Linked DNA regions of Caenorhabditis elegans. The protein of the gene in region 2 interacts with the protein of the main gene of each other region in a pairwise test. Each region holds a gene or a part of one and is shown on either strand. Other genes may lie near its edges. The genes, in order: hif-1, lin-2, gldi-4 and lin-10.

Evidence for each region.
Region 1: the proteins of lin-2 (region 2) and hif-1 interact in a two-hybrid assay, tested with the Caenorhabditis elegans proteins (3 studies listed by BioGRID).
Region 3: the proteins of lin-2 (region 2) and gldi-4 interact in a two-hybrid assay, tested with the Caenorhabditis elegans proteins (3 studies listed by BioGRID).
Region 4: the proteins of lin-2 (region 2) and lin-10 interact in binary tests that used the Caenorhabditis elegans proteins (3 or more experiments, as listed by UniProt).

What each region holds. Positions count from the first base shown.
Region 1 is NC_003283.11:20,778,461-20,785,905, forward strand, and holds hif-1 (Hypoxia-inducible factor 1), read left to right. Parts: upstream 1-1,946; 5' UTR 1,947-2,041; coding exon 2,042-2,061; intron 2,062-2,854; coding exon 2,855-3,045; intron 3,046-3,171; coding exon 3,172-3,326; intron 3,327-3,371; coding exon 3,372-3,686; intron 3,687-4,011; exon of another isoform or gene 4,012-4,075; coding exon of another isoform or gene 4,076-4,108; intron 4,109-4,203; coding exon 4,204-4,762; intron 4,763-4,865; coding exon of another isoform or gene 4,866-5,068; intron 5,069-5,277; coding exon 5,278-5,605; intron 5,606-5,675; coding exon 5,676-5,932; intron 5,933-6,012; coding exon 6,013-6,185; intron 6,186-6,233; coding exon 6,234-6,401; 3' UTR 6,402-6,800; downstream 6,801-7,445.
Region 2 is NC_003284.9:12,410,993-12,416,081, reverse strand, and holds the start of lin-2 (Protein lin-2), read left to right. Parts: upstream 1-2,040; 5' UTR 2,041-2,056; coding exon 2,057-2,130; intron 2,131-2,181; coding exon 2,182-2,294; intron 2,295-3,096; coding exon 3,097-3,280; intron 3,281-4,569; coding exon 4,570-4,665; intron 4,666-4,712; coding exon 4,713-4,795; intron 4,796-4,843; coding exon 4,844-5,019; intron 5,020-5,089. UniProt on the Caenorhabditis elegans protein: May play a structural role in the induction of the vulva. May be required for the localization of signal transduction molecules (such as let-23 receptor) to either the basal membrane domain or the cell junctions.
Region 3 is NC_003282.8:7,015,872-7,020,841, forward strand, and holds gldi-4 (ZZ-type domain-containing protein), read left to right. Parts: upstream 1-1,754; 5' UTR 1,755-1,793; coding exon 1,794-1,995; intron 1,996-2,603; coding exon 2,604-2,827; intron 2,828-2,878; coding exon 2,879-3,949; 3' UTR 3,950-3,963; intron 3,964-4,009; 3' UTR 4,010-4,339; downstream 4,340-4,970.
Region 4 is NC_003279.8:8,116,219-8,121,245, reverse strand, and holds the start of lin-10 (Protein lin-10), read left to right. Parts: upstream 1-1,931; 5' UTR 1,932-1,932; coding exon 1,933-2,083; intron 2,084-2,728; coding exon 2,729-2,967; intron 2,968-3,566; coding exon 3,567-3,656; intron 3,657-3,864; coding exon 3,865-3,916; intron 3,917-4,379; coding exon 4,380-4,603; intron 4,604-5,027. UniProt on the Caenorhabditis elegans protein: Required specifically for the determination of 3 vulval precursor cell fates P5.p, P6.p and P7.p during late second and early third larval stages; required for basolateral localization of receptor tyrosine kinase let-23.

The DNA.
Region 1 (7,445 bases), on a different chromosome or scaffold from region 2:
TAGTTCTCTCACTCTCTCATCTCTTTGGACTCTCTCCAAATCGCACACTATTCAATATGTCTGCCTGCTTGTCTCGTGTCTCCGTGGTTTATGTACTTACTGGGTCAAGAGAGTGTGTTAGATGAGAGGTCTTTTTTTTGGTTTTTCTTCACCTCTCTCAATTTTCAGAGAAAACTCTACTTCTCTAATTCATTTTTTGATCAACGAAGAAATGTTTGGATGCCCATCTTTGGTTTGTAGGCACCGCCCACTAGCTGCTCAGTTTTTCTCTAATGAGAGATTTCAGATTTTCAGAAAATCTATTAATTCTTATAGTTCAAAGGTAACGCTAATAGGTTTGATTTCATTGATCTGTATTTTAAATTTTTATTTAACTCCAATGTCAAAACATAGCTCCTGAACCACATATCGGAAAAAGTTGATCCTTTCCATTATAAAGATATGGACTAAACTCAATTTTCGCTAAATTTAATCAATTATCAGTCACTCTACTTCTCTGTACTCTAGCTTTCCCCCAATTTTTTGTCTAACATTCTGTCAATCGACAGTCTCTGAGAAGTCGTTTTGCCCACTGTCGTTCAATTTCTTGTCTTATCAACATCTTTCTTCTTACATTTTGTCGTCGCCTCCCGCTTGTTGATGATGACTATCTGTTTCCCTCGTTTCATATGACTATTGATTTTATTTAATGTTCCAATAACTTTCGACAATTCTTTATTATATTTTGAGGATTTATATTAATTGTGCACTCTCTTGATGTATCGATATTTTCAATTTCTCGATTAAGCTAAAAAGTGTGATATGAGATGTAAGGACTAGCTTTATTAGACTCAAAACTGTCTGAAAACACCAAATTTCTTAATGAAACTTTTTGAAAACTTCTCAAAAAAATTATGGTGGCTCAAAAAGGACCTAAAATCAGTTAAATTTTAAAATTTGAGCAACTCTCAGCGGCTGAAAACTTATTTTTTTGTCATATTTTGGGCCGCCATAGTTTTTTTGTGTCCTTTTCAAAAATTTAATTAGAAAATTCGGTGTTTTCAGACAATTTTGAGTGTAATAGAGTAATTAAAAATTCGACTACACCGCCTTTAAGTCCAAAGATTGATTGAATCCCGATCTTAACTATTTTATTTGAAATTCACTTGATAATAAGGATAAACTAAAATCACTACACAAACTACCCTTTCTGAACTTGAGTATAGTTATCTTCAAAAACATTATTGTTTACGCTCGGTGAAAACACTACATTCTAGTGATTCCCCTGTTCTTTGACTTACTTCAACTACAATTTTTTCAAAGATTGATCGTAGTTCATTCATAGTTTGATGTTAGTCACCCCCTCAATCTTGCCCCATTCATACCATTGACGTAACATCAATATCCAGATTTATATTTTTGAATCGGGAAAATTTTGCTTTTAATCTTTTTGTGTGCCCTTTTCTCCTTCACTGGCTTATCACATGATTCTTGTAATCAGTTTGTATTCACTCAATATAAAGAAATTGACAATTTTTCTTGAATTGAATTCAGCGAAATTTCCAGTCTACCTAAGTTCTTGTTTTTAGATTTGGGTTTTAAATTGAGCATTTGATCTCTATGATTTGTTTTCTGCAACATTCTTATGATACTTGCCTAACAAATAGTCAATTGTCCATGAAATTGTTACAAATCTTGACGTCCTCTGGGACCCCGTCCAAACAACTGTCACTAACATATCCAATCGATCGTTTTGTGCACCCTTGGTATTTATGATGTTTCAATTTGTCTCACTACACTCTACCCTAGTGCTATAAATCATAACTAAACTTGATTTTTTATTCAAAAGTGTTAACATTCGAAAATCTAACAACCCCTTATGTTCTCAATGATAATTTTAAGAACATTTGATACAATTTTTCTAATTCCCTCTACCCGATTCTATTCAATTTAAAATTGTCATACATTTTCAGCCCACCTGAAAGTTGCCCGTCATTACGGGGAAGTTGCCCCAATCACACCAACCTCAGCTTCACTGAAGCTGCACCTATTCACTATCAAGATGGAAGACAATCGGAAAAGGTAGAGTTAGAATTCTGTTAGAATCGAAATTCATTCTTAAACATTCCATGATTGGATGCCTGAAAACGCTAGAAGTACCGTAGTCCTTTGGGTTTGCTCCATGCTCTGCTCGCAAATGAGAGAGAGGGAGCATTGGCAGAGGTAGATGTATTGAAAATGCGCATTTCCGAATCGAATATCAAATGTGAATCATCTATATAAAATATATCTCGCTCTTTTTAGACACAACTCATTTTTAATCGGAGATGTTAGATAAAGTAAATTATGAAAATAAATTGTGAAATAATTGTGATTGAAGGTGGAGTAGCGCCAGTGGCAGTTTTGCCTAAAAAATACACTTACAATGGCTCGAAACAACCAAAAATCATAATAAAACACTTAAAAATTTTTTAGATTTTTCATAATTTCCGGTCAAAGTTTTGGCAAATGGCCAAAATTTTTACAAACATAAGTATTTGAGGAATGCCGCATGTTCCGATCCCTACTATGCTTCCAAAATTATGAGTGGCAAAAATTGAGTGATTATCATCTAACGGACGGTAAATAAACAATTTCAAAAAATTTTTGACAATTTTTAATTTGATATTCGGTCATTTTAGTACCATTGGATTAGTTTTCAACACTTTCTCCACTGGCTCCTCCTACTCCACCTTTGAAAAAATAAATTTTCCCAGTTATACTTAAAACTAAATTAAATCGAAAAACCTCATGAGAAGTGTACTTATATAGGTATATAATTTTTTGAAATTCACCAATTTTGGGGTGACAAGAAATTCAAAATCAAACTTTTTAGAAACATGGAACGCCGTCGTGAAACATCGAGACACGCGGCTCGTGATCGTCGGTCTAAAGAATCGGATATATTTGATGATCTGAAAATGTGTGTGCCTATTGTTGAAGAAGGTACCGTAACTCATCTAGACCGTATTGCACTTCTTCGTGTTGCCGCCACAATTTGTCGACTGCGCAAGACAGCCGGTAATGGTAAGTGACATCGAATAAAGAAATAGTTGATTCAACATCAAAAATCACTTGAAAATCGTGTTTTATGCTGAGAAAATCGACCAAAAATCACTGCCAATTTTTCTCAAATTAATATTTTTCTTTCAGTATTGGAAAACAATTTGGACAATGAAATCACAAATGAGGTATGGACTGAAGACACCATCGCCGAATGCTTGGACGGCTTTGTTATGATTGTTGACAGTGATTCTTCAATTCTTTACGTCACTGAAAGTGTTGCAATGTATTTAGGATTAACACAGGTGAGCAATAGAAAACTTGCTTCTTTAACATCGATATATTTTCAGACAGATTTAACAGGTCGAGCCCTTCGAGACTTTCTTCATCCATCCGACTATGACGAGTTTGACAAGCAATCAAAAATGCTGCACAAGCCACGTGGCGAGGACACAGACACCACCGGCATCAACATGGTGCTTCGAATGAAGACAGTCATCAGCCCACGTGGAAGATGTCTGAATTTGAAGAGTGCTTTGTACAAATCAGTGTCTTTCCTGGTTCATTCAAAAGTTTCAACTGGTGGACACGTGTCATTCATGCAAGGTATCACAATTCCTGCTGGACAGGGTACAACTAATGCAAATGCATCTGCAATGACAAAGGTGAATATCTGCTTTGAATGTTTCATAGTAAGATTCTAAAGTTTGAACTTTTGATCTTGGGAATTTCTGCTCCTCCTTTCCGCTTCTTGATAAACTGATGGAATTGTGAGACAAAATGTTGAGTAGACGTTACACAATTTCATTTTCTTCTTATTCTTCTGCTCGCTCGAAAAGTTTGTTCTTTTGATCTTTAAAATAGAGAATAGTGCTTTGAGCAAAGCACACTCAGCCGTTGGCACCTCGCGCATAGAAAACAGGATTAGAAAATTGGAGAGAAGTAGAGAAGCACAAGCACATGCAACTTGGCGTCATCTTCTCCTTTTTTGAAGCAGAAGAGAAAACGGAGAAGATGTTACATCTTGTATTGCTGCTCCGTTTGCAAAAGTAAAATGAGCAGGGACTCTGAATACCTAGATAGAAAAGTGAGTCCTAAAGGGCGTGTATATTCGAAAACTTTTTCAAATCAGATTTATAGATGCTATAAGTTTAATAAAAATATAGATGGATTAATTTACAGTACACGGAAAGCCCAATGGGTGCATTCACAACTCGTCACACTTGCGACATGCGCATCACTTTCGTTTCGGATAAGTTCAATTACATCTTGAAAAGTGAGCTGAAGACTCTCATGGGCACCAGTTTCTACGAATTGGTACATCCAGCCGATATGATGATAGTATCAAAATCCATGAAGGAACTTTTTGCCAAAGGACACATCCGTACCCCGTATTACCGGTTGATTGCTGCAAATGACACACTTGCCTGGATTCAAACAGAAGCTACTACAATCACACATACGACGAAAGGACAAAAAGGACAATATGTCATTTGTGTTCATTACGTTCTCGGAATCCAAGGAGCTGAAGAGTCATTGGTAGTTTGCACTGATTCAATGCCAGCTGGAATGCAAGTAGATATCAAGAAGGAAGTGGATGATACAAGAGACTATATTGGAAGACAACCTGAAATTGTGGAATGCGTCGATTTTACTCCATTGATCGAGCCAGAAGATCCATTTGATACGGTTATTGAGCCAGTCGTTGGTGGAGAAGAACCTGTTAAGCAGGCTGATATGGGTAAGTACATGTTTAAGAACGTATTAAAAGTTTGTAATTATACAGTTTGATTCACCTAAGTTTTTTTTATCCAAATTGAATAATTTACGAGGTACGTATATAGGAATTTATTCGGTGACGGATGAGTATGAGCAACGTGTTTATGGGCAAATTTCTGCCGGCAATGATATAGAAGACTGCGATATGGATTCTGATACAGAATCCATAGAAGATTCCGGTTTAGCACCGGAATTCGATGTGGATCTGGCTCCGATTTATAATGAGAAAATGGAAGTTGACGGAGAGGATGAGGACGGCGGAGAGGAGGTACTTTGGGAAATGGGATTATGATTACTAAGTTAAAAAAACAACAGATCGCAGTTTTCCCCTCCGTTGTCCTCATACCTCCGTGAGTTTCTCTTTTTCTTATTTTCAAACTTGTCAAACTTGTCCATGCATGTCGTATTATTTTTTACCCTACGCCTACTCAAAGTTCCATACATTTAGCAAGTGATTTCTTAACGTGTGTATTTCAGGAGCACGTAAGAACAGCTACGATGACGTTTTGCAATGGCTTTTTCGCGACCAGCCAAGCTCTCCGCCGCCGGCACGCTACCGGTCAGCGGACCGCTTCAGGACAACCGAACCGTCGAATTTCGGTTCCGCTCTGGCCTCGCCGGACTTCATGGATTCGTCATCTCGTACCTCCCGACCGAAGACATCATACGGACGAAGAGCACAAAGTCAGGGAAGTCGAACAACTGGATCGTCTTCCACGTCAGCATCGGCCACATTGCCACACAGTGCCAACTACTCGCCACTTGCAGAGGGCATCTCACAATGTGGACTTAACAGTCCCCCGAGGTTAGTTTTTTATACATTTTTCACAATTAGCACGTTGAGCATGTACATGTTTATAATATCCTTGTATCAGTTGCAGTATCAAATCTGGACAAGTCGTGTACGGAGACGCTCGATCTATGGGACGTAGCTGCGATCCGTCCGATTCGTCACGACGCTTTTCCGCCCTTTCACCATCAGATACTCTCAATGTGTCGTCCACTAGAGGCATCAACCCAGTCATCGGAAGCAATGATGTGTTCTCCACTATGCCTTTTGCCGATTCTATCGCCATTGCCGAAAGGATCGATTCGTCGCCAACATTAACCTCTGGCGAACCAATACTTTGTGGTTAGTTTTTTTTAAATGTTCAAATCAATCTCATTCGTGAAAGAAATCAGATAACTTTCAACAAAATGTTTAACTTTCAGACGATCTTCAATGGGAAGAGCCTGATTTATCGTGCTTGGCACCATTCGTTGACACTTATGATATGATGCAAATGGACGAGGGGTTACCACCAGAGCTTCAAGCTCTTTACGACTTGCCTGACTTTACACCTGCGGTACCTCAAGCCCCAGCTGCTCGGCCTGTGCACATTGACGTAAGCCTGTTTTGTTTTTGGCTCCTAACATTATGTTAATTTTTGCAGAGAAGCCCACCAGCGAAGCGAATGCACCAATCAGGTCCCTCAGATTTAGATTTTATGTACACTCAACATTATCAACCATTCCAACAAGACGAGACATATTGGCAAGGACAGCAACAGCAAAATGAACAACAGCCTAGTTCTTATTCCCCATTTCCAATGCTCTCTTGATTATTTTCTACCCCCTCTCAAACTGTTCATTGTTTTGTTTTCAAAAATATACTCTTCATTCATTCAAGTCACACTTCTTATTACTTAATTCTATTGCTCTTTTTAAGAATAATGAGTTTCAAGAATCCTCCCCGATAAATTTTCCCCCATTCCTTTTTCCCTTTCCCTCTGATTTCTTTATTTAGTAAAAAAAAGAAGAATCGTAGTACAAAACGTGTCTATCTGTGTGTCCGTTTGTCCGTTTTTCCCATCTCCATAGTGATAGTTAATTGCATCATTTATACAACGAATCTTCTTATGTTAAGTTTTCTTTTCATTTTTTCACAATGCTCTCGTCTCATTCATTTTCAAAATTCTGTCCGTCTTCGTTTTCTTCTCGATAAAACCTTTTTGGTTTGATCATCTTTTTAAAACTTTACAAAAAGCACTATTACAGAGTTTAGCATTCATTTTTGTGGAAAATATCTGAAATTTTGAGGTATGAGCTTGTAAAGTGAAAACGCGTCTAAATCTATTCGTCTTGATTTACAAATTACTTCAAACGTACGATCTTCCTATTAGACTTTCACTTCTTAGTAGTACTGCACCTCGAACACCTTCTAAAATTTAGACTGTTTATTTTGAAATGTTTTTTTGCAAAATTACAACAAGGCTAGGATTATTGCATTTTTGTTCCAATTAACCACAATTTTGCAAAATGTCTTTCAGAAACAGTTGTTCTTGTAAATGAAAACATGGAATCCTAAACAAAAAAGGCGTATGAAAATTAGTATTGCACAACCTAGTTGTAATGCATTCGCTTTGAAAAATAGTATTGCATTCATATTAATAGATAATGAATACATATACGCATCAGACCTCCGGTTTTTTTTGTGGAAAAAGCGAAAAATGAAAAATTTTCTTACTTTTTTCTGTTTTCCAATTATTCGGTTTTTCGATTTTTCGGTTTTGCACAAGAAAAACTAAAAAATGGTCATGCAATAGTCAATGTTGAAAACTGTCAGTTTCAATAATTTCCGACAATCGGGGGTTTTATGCAATTTT
Region 2 (5,089 bases):
TGTTTTGCATCGTCCGTGCATCATAGAAACAGGTGTTCATCGTGTTTATCTTGCAAACTCACCCAACCGACACTCATAAAACTGTGTATCTCTGGAGACTGGGAGAGATAACATCCACTTTCTACTCTTTGTCGAGCCTCTTTCATCCAGTTTTTTTCCGGTGTCAAAAAAAACTTCATATTTTCTTTTTTTTCATATTTATTCGTTTTTTCTTTCTGCTTTGAGATTTTGTCATATCTTACAAATCCAAGAAAAAAAAAAGAAAAATGTAATATCTTTCCTTCATCCCTTCCTTTTTATGTAGTTATTTATGTCTTCTTCTTTAATTAAATTTGTTTTTTCTTCTTATTTCCCATTATTTTGCTAACACCTTATTTGTTGAATATTCGATGGAGAGACTAATAATTGAACATTTTTGCATCCCAATTTTTCACAAAGCTAATATTTCGCGGTTTTTGATAGTTGTTTAAGACTGGGATGTATAGTTGGTGTTTCAATTTTGTCTACTCAGTTTTTTTTTCAATTTAAAATTGTTTTTGAAACAAAAACGTAAAAACCATTACATAAAAGTTTATAAGTAATTTAAAAGTTCCATTAAAAACAAAAAATAACCATGGTATAATCAGAGTATACATATATTGGGCATTTCAGAAGCAATAACTTCCAAATAACTTCAATGTGAACTGGAATATATGTAGTGACAAAATGCGAAATACTTAAATTGTGTAAGAGTTTAGTGTATACAGATTAAAATAAACTGACAAACTAAAAAAAAATTATAAAAGTATATATATATATGTCAAAAATTTGAGACTAGTAGTAACCTTAACAGTAAACATATTTTCAGCATGTTTTTGGTATAGCTCTGCACAAAATGGTAGTTTTATGAAATTATTGTGCTCAATGTTATTTCCTTGAAATAAATCTCGATTATTTTTTGAATAGTTACACTTTTTGGTTGAAGTTATTGCACCAAATGGAAATGAATTTTTCAAAAAGTTTTAAGTAGACGTATGAAACGGAAATAAAAAGAGTATGCAGAAAAAGATGCAAACCGAAATTGTTTGAAAAAAAAAACTTTAAAAAATGGCTTTGTTAGCCTTAAAGGAGTTATTGTTTTGAGCATTAGAATTAGATCCCAAGTCATTTGAGAACGTAGGAAAATCAAAATGTAGGTTTCTCTATGTAATTGATCGTAGTAAAACCCATGCACGTAATTGCTTCTATTACATTACATTACGATTTTCATATCAAATAATTTTTTTTCAGCATCTCTCAAACTTAAAGTTTAGTGTTTTGAAAAGATTTCAAATCTGTTTACTGTTTTTGTTACAAATACATCTGGCTAACCCGCCAACTTTGAATAAACACGATACTATTCCGGCAAATTCAGGAATGTTTGCTAAATGACAAATACAGCCGCGTTTCAATAGGAAACTAGAGGTGGAAAAGATGAAAAGTGTCCATATTTGTCTTGATTTCCTCTGCCATGCCGCAATCAAACTTTCTTTCACATAGTTGTTCTGCTTCAATAATTTAAGATTGGATGGTTTGATTTTGCATTTTGCAGAAAATATTATGTTATAAACAAGAAAAAATCCTAAGTTTAACGATTTCCGTCCCCCACGCACTCAAGTTCATTAAAATTAATGACGTAATGCTTACCTCTTTTTATAAGACCGCAACATGAGATTTTCCATCAGACAAGTACCACCTCAAATCCTCAATTTTTTAGTTCTCGAAAGAATGTTGCGGGGTTGATAAAACATGAATCTCTCTTGCAATCATTTATTGACATTATATCTCCTCCTAACGATCAAATCAAATTGGCCGAAAGAAAACGCGTAGAGCCCCCCCCCCCCCCCCCGCCGCCGACCCAAAAAACTGCCATTTTCTCTCCAGTCTCTCTATTTCAATATTCATGCGAGCCTGATATGCTTTTTCAATTTAATAATCATTCACTGTCCCTATGAGTTTTTTTCTGGTTATCTCTTTTTTTTCTTCAACTTTATCATTTGTTTATTCACGTTTATCAGCATTTTTCAGCTAAAACAGAATGAGGGAGCTTGACCCGGACGAGTCGAACCTTCTCCTCGATGAACAACTGTCGATCCGGGATGTGATAGAACAGTAAGATTTTTGAAAATTCAGTTAATTCTTGAAATAACTAAGAATTTCCAGAGGTCCATTTTCAAATGTATACCGAATACTTCATGGACCATCAAATCGAAAATTTTTACTGAGATCAATCAATTTGAATTTGTTCAGACAGCACACCGGGTTAGGATTTGAAGGTACAATTATTGTTATACAGTTGTTACATGGGGTACGACTACATGTAGTAGTCGTATTCCAAAAAAATTCTACGCACCTACTAAAATGATTTGTTCAATTCAAAAGTTGAAGCAGTGTACTTTTGTAGTAGCTGTAGTTGCTCTACTATACAAGTATCAAAAATAGTTTTCTCCCATTTTGATAAAGTCTTTTTTTAATTTTGGTTTTTTGTCTTTACAAAAATTGATAGGTTTTTGTAATGTTAATCGATCTAGTGATGAACTAATATCTTTCGAAAGGAGGCTCAAATGCAGTTAAAAAAAAGTTAATTAGAATAAAAATATCCAATTTCATTGGTTTTCATCCAAATACCATTGAGACCGTTAAAGAAAAGTTTCAACATTTTAAAAACAGGAAGTCATCGTTTCAACACACTGTCTCACAAAAGACTGAATTATTAGTTTTTGATGTTTTTTTTCGAATTGAACAAATTCAGGTGGTTAATACACTTTTTTTTTAAAGTTATGTTTTGACCTTTATTGTGGATTTTGAAGAATAAAAAATTTCTCAAAAAACAACCTGAGTGCACTTTTAAAAATTGAGAAAAAAAAAGTCCCCGCAGCGGATATTATTATTCTCGCCACCAGTTTTCCAATCAGAAGCGCACAAAATGTCCTCAAAGTTCTCATCTCATGAGCTCAGCAGCTCCAATCCCAATTCATCAATCAATCTATCAGCCATCATGTGTCATTTCGAACTTTGATCATTTTACCGAATCCGATCTAAATATAATTATTTCATTCCAAACCATCTCTTTTTCAGAAATCGACGAGGAAATTAGAATATGCCAAAATCTACAGCACCCTTACATATGCCGACTGGAAAAAACTATCAACAGCGTTCATTATCGACATATCATTTTTGAGAACATGGAGGGAAATGATATTTGTTTTGAAATAGTTCAAAGAGCAAGTAATGGATTCGTATTTTCTGAATATGTAGTAAGGTTTGTATTTTTACAATATAGACTGTGTGTCACGGCGTGTAAATTGGGACATCTGGCCTAGCGAAAAGTGAAAAGTGAGAATCCTAGGCCATGGCCGCTGCAAAGCGCGCGAAATTTGAATTTAAATTTTTAATATCATTGAAATTCGATGAATGAGACATTATAATGGATAAAACTGCAAAAATATATACAAAATTGTTTTTAAAATGGATAAATCACATATAACAACGATTATTTTCCTAAATAAAAGTGGAAATTCGATTTATTAGGCAATTATTAGGAAAATTCGACAAAAATGGCACATTTTTGAACTTTTTTCAAAAACTAGATCCACAAATTTTCTGAAATTTCACCAGATTACTCAGTAGACTACTTTAATCAAATTGTGTGCAAAAAATTCATACCCACCGTCACAAGTTCCTATTGAATTTTTCTATTTTAGCTCCGAAAACCACTAAAATTCGACAAAAATGGCACATTTTTGAACTTTTTTCAAAAACTAGATCCACAAATTTTCTGAAATTTCACCAGATTACTCAGTAGACTACTTTAATCAAATTGTGTGCAAAAAATTCATACCCACCGTCACAAGTTCCTATTGAATTTTTCTATTTTAGCTCCGAAAACCACTAAAATTCGACAAAAATGGCACATTTTTGAACTTTTTTCAAAAACTATGCCCACAAAGTTTTTGAAACTTCACCAGTTTACTCGGTAGAGCATTTCAAACAAATTATGTGCATAAAAACCATACCCACCGTCACAAGTTCACATTGAATTTTTCAATTTTAGCTCGGAAATTCACAAAAAATCAGTGAAATTGGCACCAATTTGAAATTTTTTCAAAAACTAGATTCACAAAGGTTTTGAAACTTCACCAATTGACTAAATGAAGGTTTTTGAACAATTTAAGTACATAAAATGTATACCCACCATCACAAGTTTACACTTAAAATTGCTGTTCATTAATGCAGTTCTTCAAACTGCCTTGTTTCGTTTTCTGCGTAGTTCACTTTTTTTTGTATTTGAATTTAATGTAATTTTAGTGTTTCTTTTATTCTTTTCCAAAAAGATAATGCATTTTTTGCTTGAATTCAAGGATATTTTCATATAAAACGAAACCGGGAAGTATTAATTGCTAAAATTTATGTGGACTACGGTAGTCAAGTCCGCAAACACCACGCGCATTTTCATAATTGCGTACATTTGTTTTTCAAGCTTTTTTCTAGGCCAGAGGTACCAATTTACACGCCGTGTGTGTGTAAAAATAATTAGCATAAATTTTTCAGTCACTATACACGGCAGCTCCTAGATGCTCTAGATTACTGTCACACTAGGAAAATTGTTCATAGAGATGTACGGCCTCACAATTTAGTATTAGCGTCGTAAGTTAATTAATATAGAAAAACAACAGTTCAATGTGAACTTTCAGAAAAGATACTTCAGCTCCACTGAAACTGTGTGGATTTGGAGTTGCAAAAGATTTGTCTGAAATTGGTGGTTCAATGGCTTGTGGTATGACTCGTTTTTCAAATGTGCATTCATATAATTTCGAATTTGAAGGTCGAGTAGGTGTACCGCAATTCATGGCTCCAGAGATAGTGCGAAAAGATCGAGTGTCATGCTCGTCGGATATCTGGTCTTCCGGTGTCGTCCTTTTTCTCTTGCTAGCTGGACGATTACCTTTCTCCGGGTCTACTTCCGATATCTATGAAAGGATCATGCAAACAGATGTAGATGTGAGGTTTTTTCGAATAATTTTTCTGGTTGCGCAAGAGAATCGGTTAAAAGCAAAAAAATCGATACAAC
Region 3 (4,970 bases), on a different chromosome or scaffold from region 2:
TGAAATTGGCTGCAAAGAAAGCAGATTTTGATCGTCTCATTGGAATTCATCCAACTGTCGCGGAGAACTTCACCACGTTGACTCTTGAAAAGAAGGAAGGAGATGAGGAATTACAAGCTTCTGGTTGCTGAGGTTAAGAAGGGTCCAATTTGGGGGAGAATTTGGGTTTTGGAATGAAATGAACATTGATTTTATTTAGGATCTCTTTTTTAAAATATGAATTCAAAAAAAAAAACAAATAAACCTAAAATCTCAATGTCATTTTATTTCATCACCTACTCTCTTCAAAATTGGACCGTCGGTGGTCGCTAGTAGAGGCAGCTTTGTGACGACCTTTGGCTAAACTCCATCGTGAGCGCCTCTGGTCTGATGCGCCTCCAAAACGTCCACCACCCCTGATGATTTGTTTATTATAGTTTGCATTGTATTTTCGAATCTTCAGGGTTGTTTGTTCTTGACAATTGCCAATTTTTCTAAGCGAAAAGTTTGATTTAATTTTATTCTACTTGGCAATTTTCAAAAACGAACAATTATTCTCTTATCCAGTGTTTAAGTATGTCCTCTCACTTTTTTTTCAATTTCAATCCCGTACTTCTTCCCTATTTTTGGGTAAATCCAAGCCTTTTTCACTCTCTCTCTTAAATGCAATATTGTTTGGTCATTTTACCTTTTATTGTATGTGTTGTAAAAATAAATTGTATTTTACACCGAAAAATGTCCAATTCAGTGATATCATTATGCATGCACATCTTCCGCGTACGACAGCTTTTCCGCGTGATTTTCTGTGTTTTCTCTGTTTCTAGGCGCTCTCCAAATTTACTTTATATTTTTCCAAAATTCTATCTCGTTTTTGAATACACATATGTAAAACCGAAATAGAATGAAAAATTGGGAGACGGAGAGAGGAAACGAAAACAGAGAGAGAAAGAGACGGAGAGGAGAAAAGGCAAATGAAGGTTGCAATCTGTTTTTACACTTTATATTTAGTCTTTGTTCATTTCGAAATTAAACGCAGGCAGGCGCAGGCGGCCGATTGGAATTTCACGTCAATCCTTCCAAACTAGGTGCTTTTGGTAAATCCTGATTTTCTCTGTGCACAGAAGTTAAATTGTTGTTTATAAACTTCATTTTCTACCAAAAATTAACAAATCTGTAAATATTTGCCCCTATAACGATAATTTTAACAGAGATCGCGGCGAGACCCTCTCAAAAAACAGCGTGTGCCTTTGAACTGTCGCCGAAAAATTATTGTAAATTGTGATTCGTCATTTTGCAAGATGAGTCACTTTGAATAAAATCGTTTCAGCAAAAATGGGGGAATTTTTTACGGGAGAAAAAAAGTCCACAGATTCTCCAGTTATGGTTCATTTCTAATAATAATAGCCCAAACTTAATACCTCATAATCCAATTGACCCTTGTACCCCCGGACAAGTGGGCACACGCTTATCGATTTCTATTTCGAGGTACCACTCATTTCCGCGCGGGGAACACTTTTGTCTCTGAGTCTCCTACTTCTCCTTGCTCTTTTCCCAAACGTTCTTGGCAGAAGAACCTCTATGCATATATATCTTCAATGTTTATAATGCCATTTTCTGTTAGGTTTATAAATATCTTACTCGCAACCTCTCTCTAAAAAACAGGCAAAGAAATTATGCGAAATAGAAATTGCACACTGTTTCAAAATATGTATTAATGTTTCCTTAATTTTTCTCTCATATTGAACTATTTCTAGAACTTCGATAAATAATTCCAGAAACTTGGTATAACTTGATAACTTCCAATTGTCATCCCAATGATACCTTTGTGCCGTGAACATAACAAAACATGCCGTGTCAAGGTTAACTATCATTGGCGTGTATACAATGAGGATATCAACAAGAATGCTGTATTGGAACTCTCATGTCAATGTCAAGTCCTCGATCAACTCAGAAAAACGTTCGTCGAGTTGGGATCTTCCACCATCCATTCGGCTGCTGATTTTGAGTTTAGCTGCAGTAAGTTTTTTTTTAAATGAAATTTAGATGCACAGTGCCTGCGCGAATTTCATTGGTTATTTTAGGTTTTCCAGATACTATTCGAGTTGTTCAAAATAGTATAACACAATAATCAATATGTCCAACAAAATTTGATCAACTGAAAAATTATAATTATGAAAAATTGAATTTTATCTACGCTTCCGTTTTTCTATGAAAAGAAGTTACATCGGCTGACAAGATTTTTGAAGCATTTGGATGTGATTTGACCTGTCTAAAAATTGAGTTTTTGATGTTTCAAAACTATTGTTGTTGCACACACAGTTGACAAAAAACAAAGTAGAACAATAGAGGTTATAGGGAAAATATATCGTTTTATCAAATTTAATCTGAACCCAACCGCAGGTTGCTGTAACTTTTTCCAAAGAATTTATGATAATTTGTTTGATAACATAATTTTAGAAATCGTTAAGAGCAAAATTTTGTTAGTTGAAAATTTTCAAATCTAAATGAGCTAGTATTTGAGTTGTGCTCACTTTAAATAGAAACTACAAAAAAAGAAATACGAATAGAGTTTCAGCTGGCACTATATAAAATGTCAGTCATCTTATACCAGATATGATTTTCAGTTACCAAGGATGGCCCTGTAGTTCTGTCCAGTGGCTATGAGATCTACAACAACATTCGCCCGGAATTGAGCTTTTATCATTCTCAACTTCCTCAGCTATTTCTTCATGTCAGAATCTTGGATGTCTCGGTAATTGCCAAGTTGGATGATTTGGGTCGGACTGTGAATGAATGTAAGGCAACGATGAAATCTGACAAGGCATGGAGAGTTATGAAGGATACTGAGGTATTATTTTTCTGATTCGTTTCCCTTGTTTCTAAAAGAAAACTATATTAGATTGCTGAAGGACAACTCTCACTTCAAGAGCTTCTAGACAAGCAACAACTGGAAATCAAATCTCTTCAAAAGGATATTTCCGAAATGAAGCTTGAGAATCAGTGTCGCAAAAAAGAAGACAAAAACTCCTTCAAAAACAAGGAAGTTCACGAGGCTTCATGTGATAAGTGCCAAGATTTGATTATTGGGCATCGATTCAAGTGTGCTATATGCTACAACTACGATTTGTGCGAAACATGTGAAGCTGCCGGAGTTCATGCTCAGCATGCATTGATTCGATTGGTGTCAGAAAATACTTTGTTCCCCGAACATTTGATTGTCAAAAACCCAGAGGAGGTAAAAGATCAAAACGGTCAAGTTCAAGCAATTGCTTCTTCTCGTGACAGAGCTATCCAGGTTCCTTTGAGGAGATTGGGCATAACCCCTCAAGCCATCGCAACAAAGAACAATGTCTCGAGATATTTGAATGCACAAAGTGATCGAAACATTATTGAGGACCCATGGTATGCTCAGCACATGTCTAGCAGGAAACCGCAAACTTATGAAAGAATGCATCCAAAACTGAAAGATACAACTGATGGTAAAAAAGTTCAAAAAGTTTCTTTCCGCGATCGCTTTTACAAGAAAGCAGAATCTAGCCTCGATAAACACGAAAAGCAACTTCGATTCGATCTTTCGGCTTCACGTCAAGAATTCATCAGAGAAAAGGAAAAGTTCAGAGTTGAAAAGGAAACGCTCATGAAACAAAAGGAACAAATTGAAGAGATGATGAAGCAAGAAACTATAAACTTCGAAACGAATAGGGCTTTCTTTTCGGATCGTTTTGAACCGATTTTTAATAAAGTCAAAGATGGAAAGAAAAGCGAAGATGATACTACAAGAAAAGTCGAATTTGAAGTTGAAACTGCTGAGAGCAACTATCCCGGATCTATTTTTTCGGATGAAGATTCTTTGAGTGATCTTGCTGAAATTCTCAAAGACATTGAAGAATATGAGTGTTCGTCTGAGAGCTCTGATGACCAAGAGAAAGACGATTTTGATGTCGTTGAGGAAGAGGCTAAACAATCTTAAACGTATTGTTGAATGTGAGTTATCATCCCTTGGTTCAAAGATATTTATCAACAATTTCAGATAACAAAAACAGAGGATTCAACTTCCATCTTGTACTCTCAACCAGCACTGTAATTCCAATTCAAAAGGACTTTCCAAACGATAATATGCATTTCAATATTCTCATGAATCCTCCAAATATTTAAAAAATTGTTCAAATTGTTCATAACAACTTTCTTATCAAATCAGAAAACTCAGACTGTTTTGCAGAATTGCAAAAATTCAAATATCTAAATTTTTCCATTGTACTGTCTTATCTTTATTTTTTTATTTTTTCTGAAGTCTAAAATTGTAATTTTCCAATTTTGTGAATCTTTTCATTTCGCATTAATAAAATAAATTGAAAATCAGAATTTAGCTTGCCAATATACATAAGAATAGTGAGACAGGGGAGGATAAAAAATTAAAAAAAAAAAAGAATCTTTAATTGTAAAGTCTGTAAACTTTATGAATTCATTTTTAGATTCAAAATTAAAAAATCAGATCTTAAAAAAATGTAAATGTCAAACAAACCTTCTAAAACGACATACGTTTCTACTATTATCCAGAAGATTAATTTCGCGAGTTTCGTCCCAAAAGTACGGTACCGGGTCTCGACACGACAAAAATCGATGAAAATTCTGCTGCAATGAATTTTTGAAGTTACTGTATAAAAGGCGCACATCCGTTTTTCTGGGAGTTTTGTTTGACATCTAGATACTTTTTAGATTTGATTTTAATAGTCGTTTCAAAAAATATCCAGTGCAATGTATCTAAAAGGATTGTTTTTGCAATAGATCCTCGGTTGAACTTTTGTTTTAAAACGAATTGTTCCAGACACACCTTGTTGACTTGAAAATATTTGTCCTTTTTTTTCAAAATAAACTTTGTACTTCTTTTCGTGTCTTTCTGAAATTTTCCATCTATTAATCAGATTGATAAGCTGGGAAAATATATTATTTTCATGTCGTCTGCCAGGTGTCATGTGTGTTTGACACGAGAT
Region 4 (5,027 bases), on a different chromosome or scaffold from region 2:
ATTTTGATGAGTAATTGAGAAACGAATACAGTTATTAATTCAAAATATTTGAAAGTTAAACGTAGAGTAGTGCCAAACTTCTCAACATTTTTTAACTTTGAACTAACTTTGAACGGAATTTTCGGCTTGAACTCTAATCTCAAAATTGAAAAGTTTACTTTTTTGCCATCTATTCCGCAATAACAGTAAACGTGAAATTATTCACACTTTTTTCCATCTTTATATACTCTCTCGTTCATCTACCAGTTTTGTATTGTCCATTCGTCCATCACAAATTCCCATTCATCCCGTCATCTGGTGTATTCTTTCCGTTTTTGATACTTTTTTGTCTGTGCCCTGGAAAAGAGTTGGATGGAAAGAGAGAGTGAAGGAAAACGATGGAAAAGAGCAGAATTAGCATAATTATGACACTTTTTCTCTCGCCTCTTCCCTATTTTTCTCAACCCCGCGCTGCTCGAATGAGAAACGTCTCGAATAGGTTTTAAAGCTTCAACTTTTTACTGTTCTAATGTTTTCATTTATTTCCAAGAATTTAGTTGATCATTCACGATTCCCATGGCTTAGGTCAAAAATTAGAAATACTTTGCGGAATTCTATCACAATGCAGTTATATTTTCACATTTTTAGAACTTGTCCTAAAATACAAGAAGTTATCTTTATTTTCAACATCTGGAAAAAATTCGTTTTCAACATCTAAAGCGACAATTGGAAAATTGTCAATTGAAAGTCATTTAGTTAGCGGCTTACATTAATACAATTGTTTGGTTAAACATATTTTTCAAACGCCCTCAAAAGTCCAAAAAGCACTCGATATTTTGGAGATTAGCAAGCACGGCATAAAAGAAACAGCAAAAAAAGAAAACGACACGTGTCATATATTTGGCTGAGAAAGTAGGGATTAGAGTGTCGAAGAAACATGACAAATGAATTGGCATTCAGAAGACGTGCATACATGGCACGACATATTGCTTCGGGAACTCCTTACACTGCATTTTTTGGTTTCCTCAATGTATATTTTGTTTCACGATCAGTCTCCGCTTGTTGTTCTTTTTTCTTATGCTCCAGTGGGAAAAATGTTAAAAACTACACCTATAGTGCACCCATGATGAAAATATCATTCTAACACTTTCCAACATTTTTTGAAAATGTTATATTTACATTAATAGCAATTAATCAGTTTCCACCTATCATAATTGGTCCAATACATTGTTTAATTTTAAGTTCGCTTCAATTATTTACAAGTGAACCTAGAACCTAGGTCTTCGCATTTGCAGCATTGCTCTAAATTAATGAAAAACTCCAATTTTTTTAATTGGCAATTTACCAACATTTTCATTTGAAAGTATTTTATTTAGATATAATAATAATAATAATTTATTACGCTCGCTGGGAGACGTGAAGGAATACAGAATACAAAAGTTATCATTGTTCGCTTGTACTAGAATTGGTGCAGTCGGGCAATTGTTTCCATTCCATTAGAATGTTGTCCTTGTCCTTGCGTTGTCCTTGCGTAGACTCCCCCATAGTGGGCGAGCGATTCCCGAGTGAAAATATGTAGATTTTTAGATATGTAGATATGTAGATATGTAGATTTTTTACTACATAATTGTAAGTCTGTGTAGATTCGAACTCCATGTTGTGTTACAGTACTTCCGAACACGATCTTAAAACTTTTTGAGCATCTCCCATTTTCTCATTTTAGGAAAAAATTTAACTTATAACTTCGAGGTGACAATTGTTAATTCTAAATTTTCCCACGTTAACTCTCTCTCTGTCTGCTTCTCTCTTGTCCCTCTTCTTCATCGCTCTAATTAATTCGCGTGTGAGACGAGAGAAGAGCATCCAATAATCCATGTCCTTTTCCCGCTTCCTCTCTCTTTCCCTCATCTTCCTATCTATTTTCCATCGGACCATGAACAATTCTGTTGCAGGATGTCATCTGAAGCAGTAGCACAAGCCACAGCCGCCACGACGTCTCCTGAACACGGGGTCCCCACATCATCGGCCACGCCTACTCCTCCGCCGAGCAAAGGGGGTGGAGCCGGTGGTGGTGGGGGAGGAGAGCAACAACAAGTCCCATTTCGTTAGTTTTACAAGAGATTTTGAATTAAAGTGTAAACAAATATACCAGACTTCAAGTTTTTTGAGTGTCATTTTTCAAATTTAGATGGTGTGTTTAAATATTCCCGGATCTTCAAAAATCTGATGTTTAGATATTTGAAAAAGCAAGACAAAATCAAATCAGTTAAAAAAAATATGAAAAAAACACAATAACACAGAAAAAAGGCTCTGAAATCCAGATAGGTTCAGTCTGATTTGCCAGCCCTAGTAAGACTATATTAACTTTTCGTAAGGAATTGCTCCTTCGTTTTGGTCAACCTTTCCTCAAATATTTTCACTCGAAGAATAAGAAAAAATAGAGGGGATATTATTGTTTTTCGAACCTTCTCGATTAAAAATTCCCTGTCTTCTCCTCTTCTTCTTATTTTTCCCCGCCGCCGCCTGACCACAAAAATAGGCTATTATTCATATGGCTGGACGTCTTTCATGTTGCCTTCCCTACAAAAATCTATTTTACACGGAAGTATAAGAAAATATTTTAAATATATTGCACTAGGAAACTTCTGTGCACAGAATGAAAATGTATGACATTGGTTATTTATATTTGCTTACTTAACACAATTAAAATAGGAAAAGCTTGTTCTTCAATATATTCGATTTTTTACAGAAATGATCCCTCCTGGTCATTTTTTCGCAAATCCCTTCTTGAATCCGTATATTCCAACAGCGGGTGCTCCTGCTCAGGAGGGTGAAGCTCAACCTCAGATGGTATTCTCTCCAGCTCAATATCAGGAAGTCATGCATCATTATTTTCAACAAATGATGGCCGCGAGTGGAGCACAGTTTCCGATTCCGTTTCCCATGCAATTTCAGCCGGCTCTTCAACAGCCAAGACCTTCTTCTCAGGTTTGTTTTATAAAGCGTTATTTTACAAAAACAATTGAAACACTGTCAATTTTTCATTAGAAGCAGTTTTTAAAACTGGGGTTGATAAGCTTTAAAAAAATGAAGGAAATGACATTAGTCATCAGAAAATGTATGTTTCGCAATTTTGGAACATTGTTGTACAACTAGAAAAGTTGCGAAATTTATTTTTGCAGAAAGAACTATTTTTAGAGCTCTCGAAATTGTTTTATTCACAATAAAAACATGTGAACTGGAAAAACCATATAATTTTCTGATTTGGCGAATTTGCCACAATATAATAACCTAAGACATTACATGCTTATTGGATGTTTGATGATGCATGGCTGACACCCGCTCGAGGCGTGTGAGAGGCGCCTCCGTCACTCTCTGCCGGCTAGAAATTCTAATTTTGATGTAACCTAGTCAAGCTCACAAGAAGTTCACAAATTCTTATTACAAAGTTATGCTTCTGCATTGATGCAGAACAGTATTTGATATTTCTAGACATTGAAATAGATCTAGAAATATATTACCAAAAGCAATGCATTTATGGCTCCCAAAATTCTCATCTGCACTTCATAACCTTCAAGTATTCTCAGGCATCATCATCTCATCGCTCAGAAGACGATAACGGAAGGCAGACAGCTGGCAGTGTTGTGTCCTCTAATGTGTCACCAAATCATCGAGAGGTTCGTTTACGGCAGAGCCCAAACACTTGAACTCACAAGCAAAACGCTGGAAATTAGGCGAAGTGATGACTTGGGGAGCTTCTTCATGTTCTTCCTGTAGCTCTAAAATAAATAAATGTGGTTCGGGAATTTAAAAGATAAAATTTTAAAAAATGTTCATTAAAATATACTTCTAGTTTAGAAATCAAACTCAGTCTTTAATTTTTAGGTGAGACCAGCAGAAGATTCTACGGAAACAAGCGGCGTTGTTCAAAATAATGGTTAGTTGGTTTTTCACTTTTAGAAATTCAGGCCAAATGCCAGAAGATCAGTCATTATCTCAAACGTTTGGCGTACAGTTTTCACAGAACGTATTAAGTTTCCTTCTTCGTCTAGTGGAATGTAAAACTCCAACTTTAAAAATTTCGAATAAATTGCATTTTCCAAAAGTTCTTCAGAAAATCTTCAAAAAAGATCCAGCATGTATCTCATTTGTCACAAGTGAGCATGTAACACGAGAACATTTTGGTGAGAAGAAGAGACAAGAGAGATATCTCTGCGTCTCTTATCATCTCACACTCTCTCTTTTTGCTCAGCCGATTTACTAATTGTTCCATGTCCGAAAGGAGTTGTACGTCTCCCACCATCATGTCTGGACGGAACTTAGAGACCACACGAAAAGTTGAAGGGATTTCCCCTGAACATTTTTCTAATTGTCAATTTTCAAACCTAAATATGTTTCAGATGAGCTTCTTGTACCAACTTCCACGTCATCCGATGTGACAATTGGTGACGTCATCGAAAAATCAGATTCTCCTGAAAATTCGCAAGAATCAGCGGGAGGAGAGGAGAAAAGTGAAGAAAAGCGGAAATTATCCGGTGATCGAACGGATTCACTCATTCGAAAACAAATGAGTGAAATGGAAAAAGAGATAACACGACGATCACAGAATAAAAATATTAAAACGGTATGTCGTTCGGTTTCGGAATTTTGAGAATTAATTCTTGAAAAAAAAAAGTTTTTCACTGAAATCTATGATCAAAGTTCCTAAAGCCAAATGTGAAAAACTCAATTTATGGAGTCACATAGTATGCGCATAGAATGTGCAAGAAACCTCCAACTTTCCCAAAAATAACAACTGTTTTCGAATATTTGGAATATGCCAAAACTTTGACACAAATTTTTGAAAAAACCTGAACATTTTTGGCTGTTGTTTTATTTCGATAGACCTTTTTTCTTTTAGACCTTTCTACATGTTTTGGCAAAATTTCCACTGGCGCTACACCACTTTTAAACAATAAGCATTAGACCATTAGAACTGTGAACTTTAGATATCGAGGCCAACAAAAATTCGAATATTTTTCCCTTTGGAACAATTGTCTCTTTCTGCA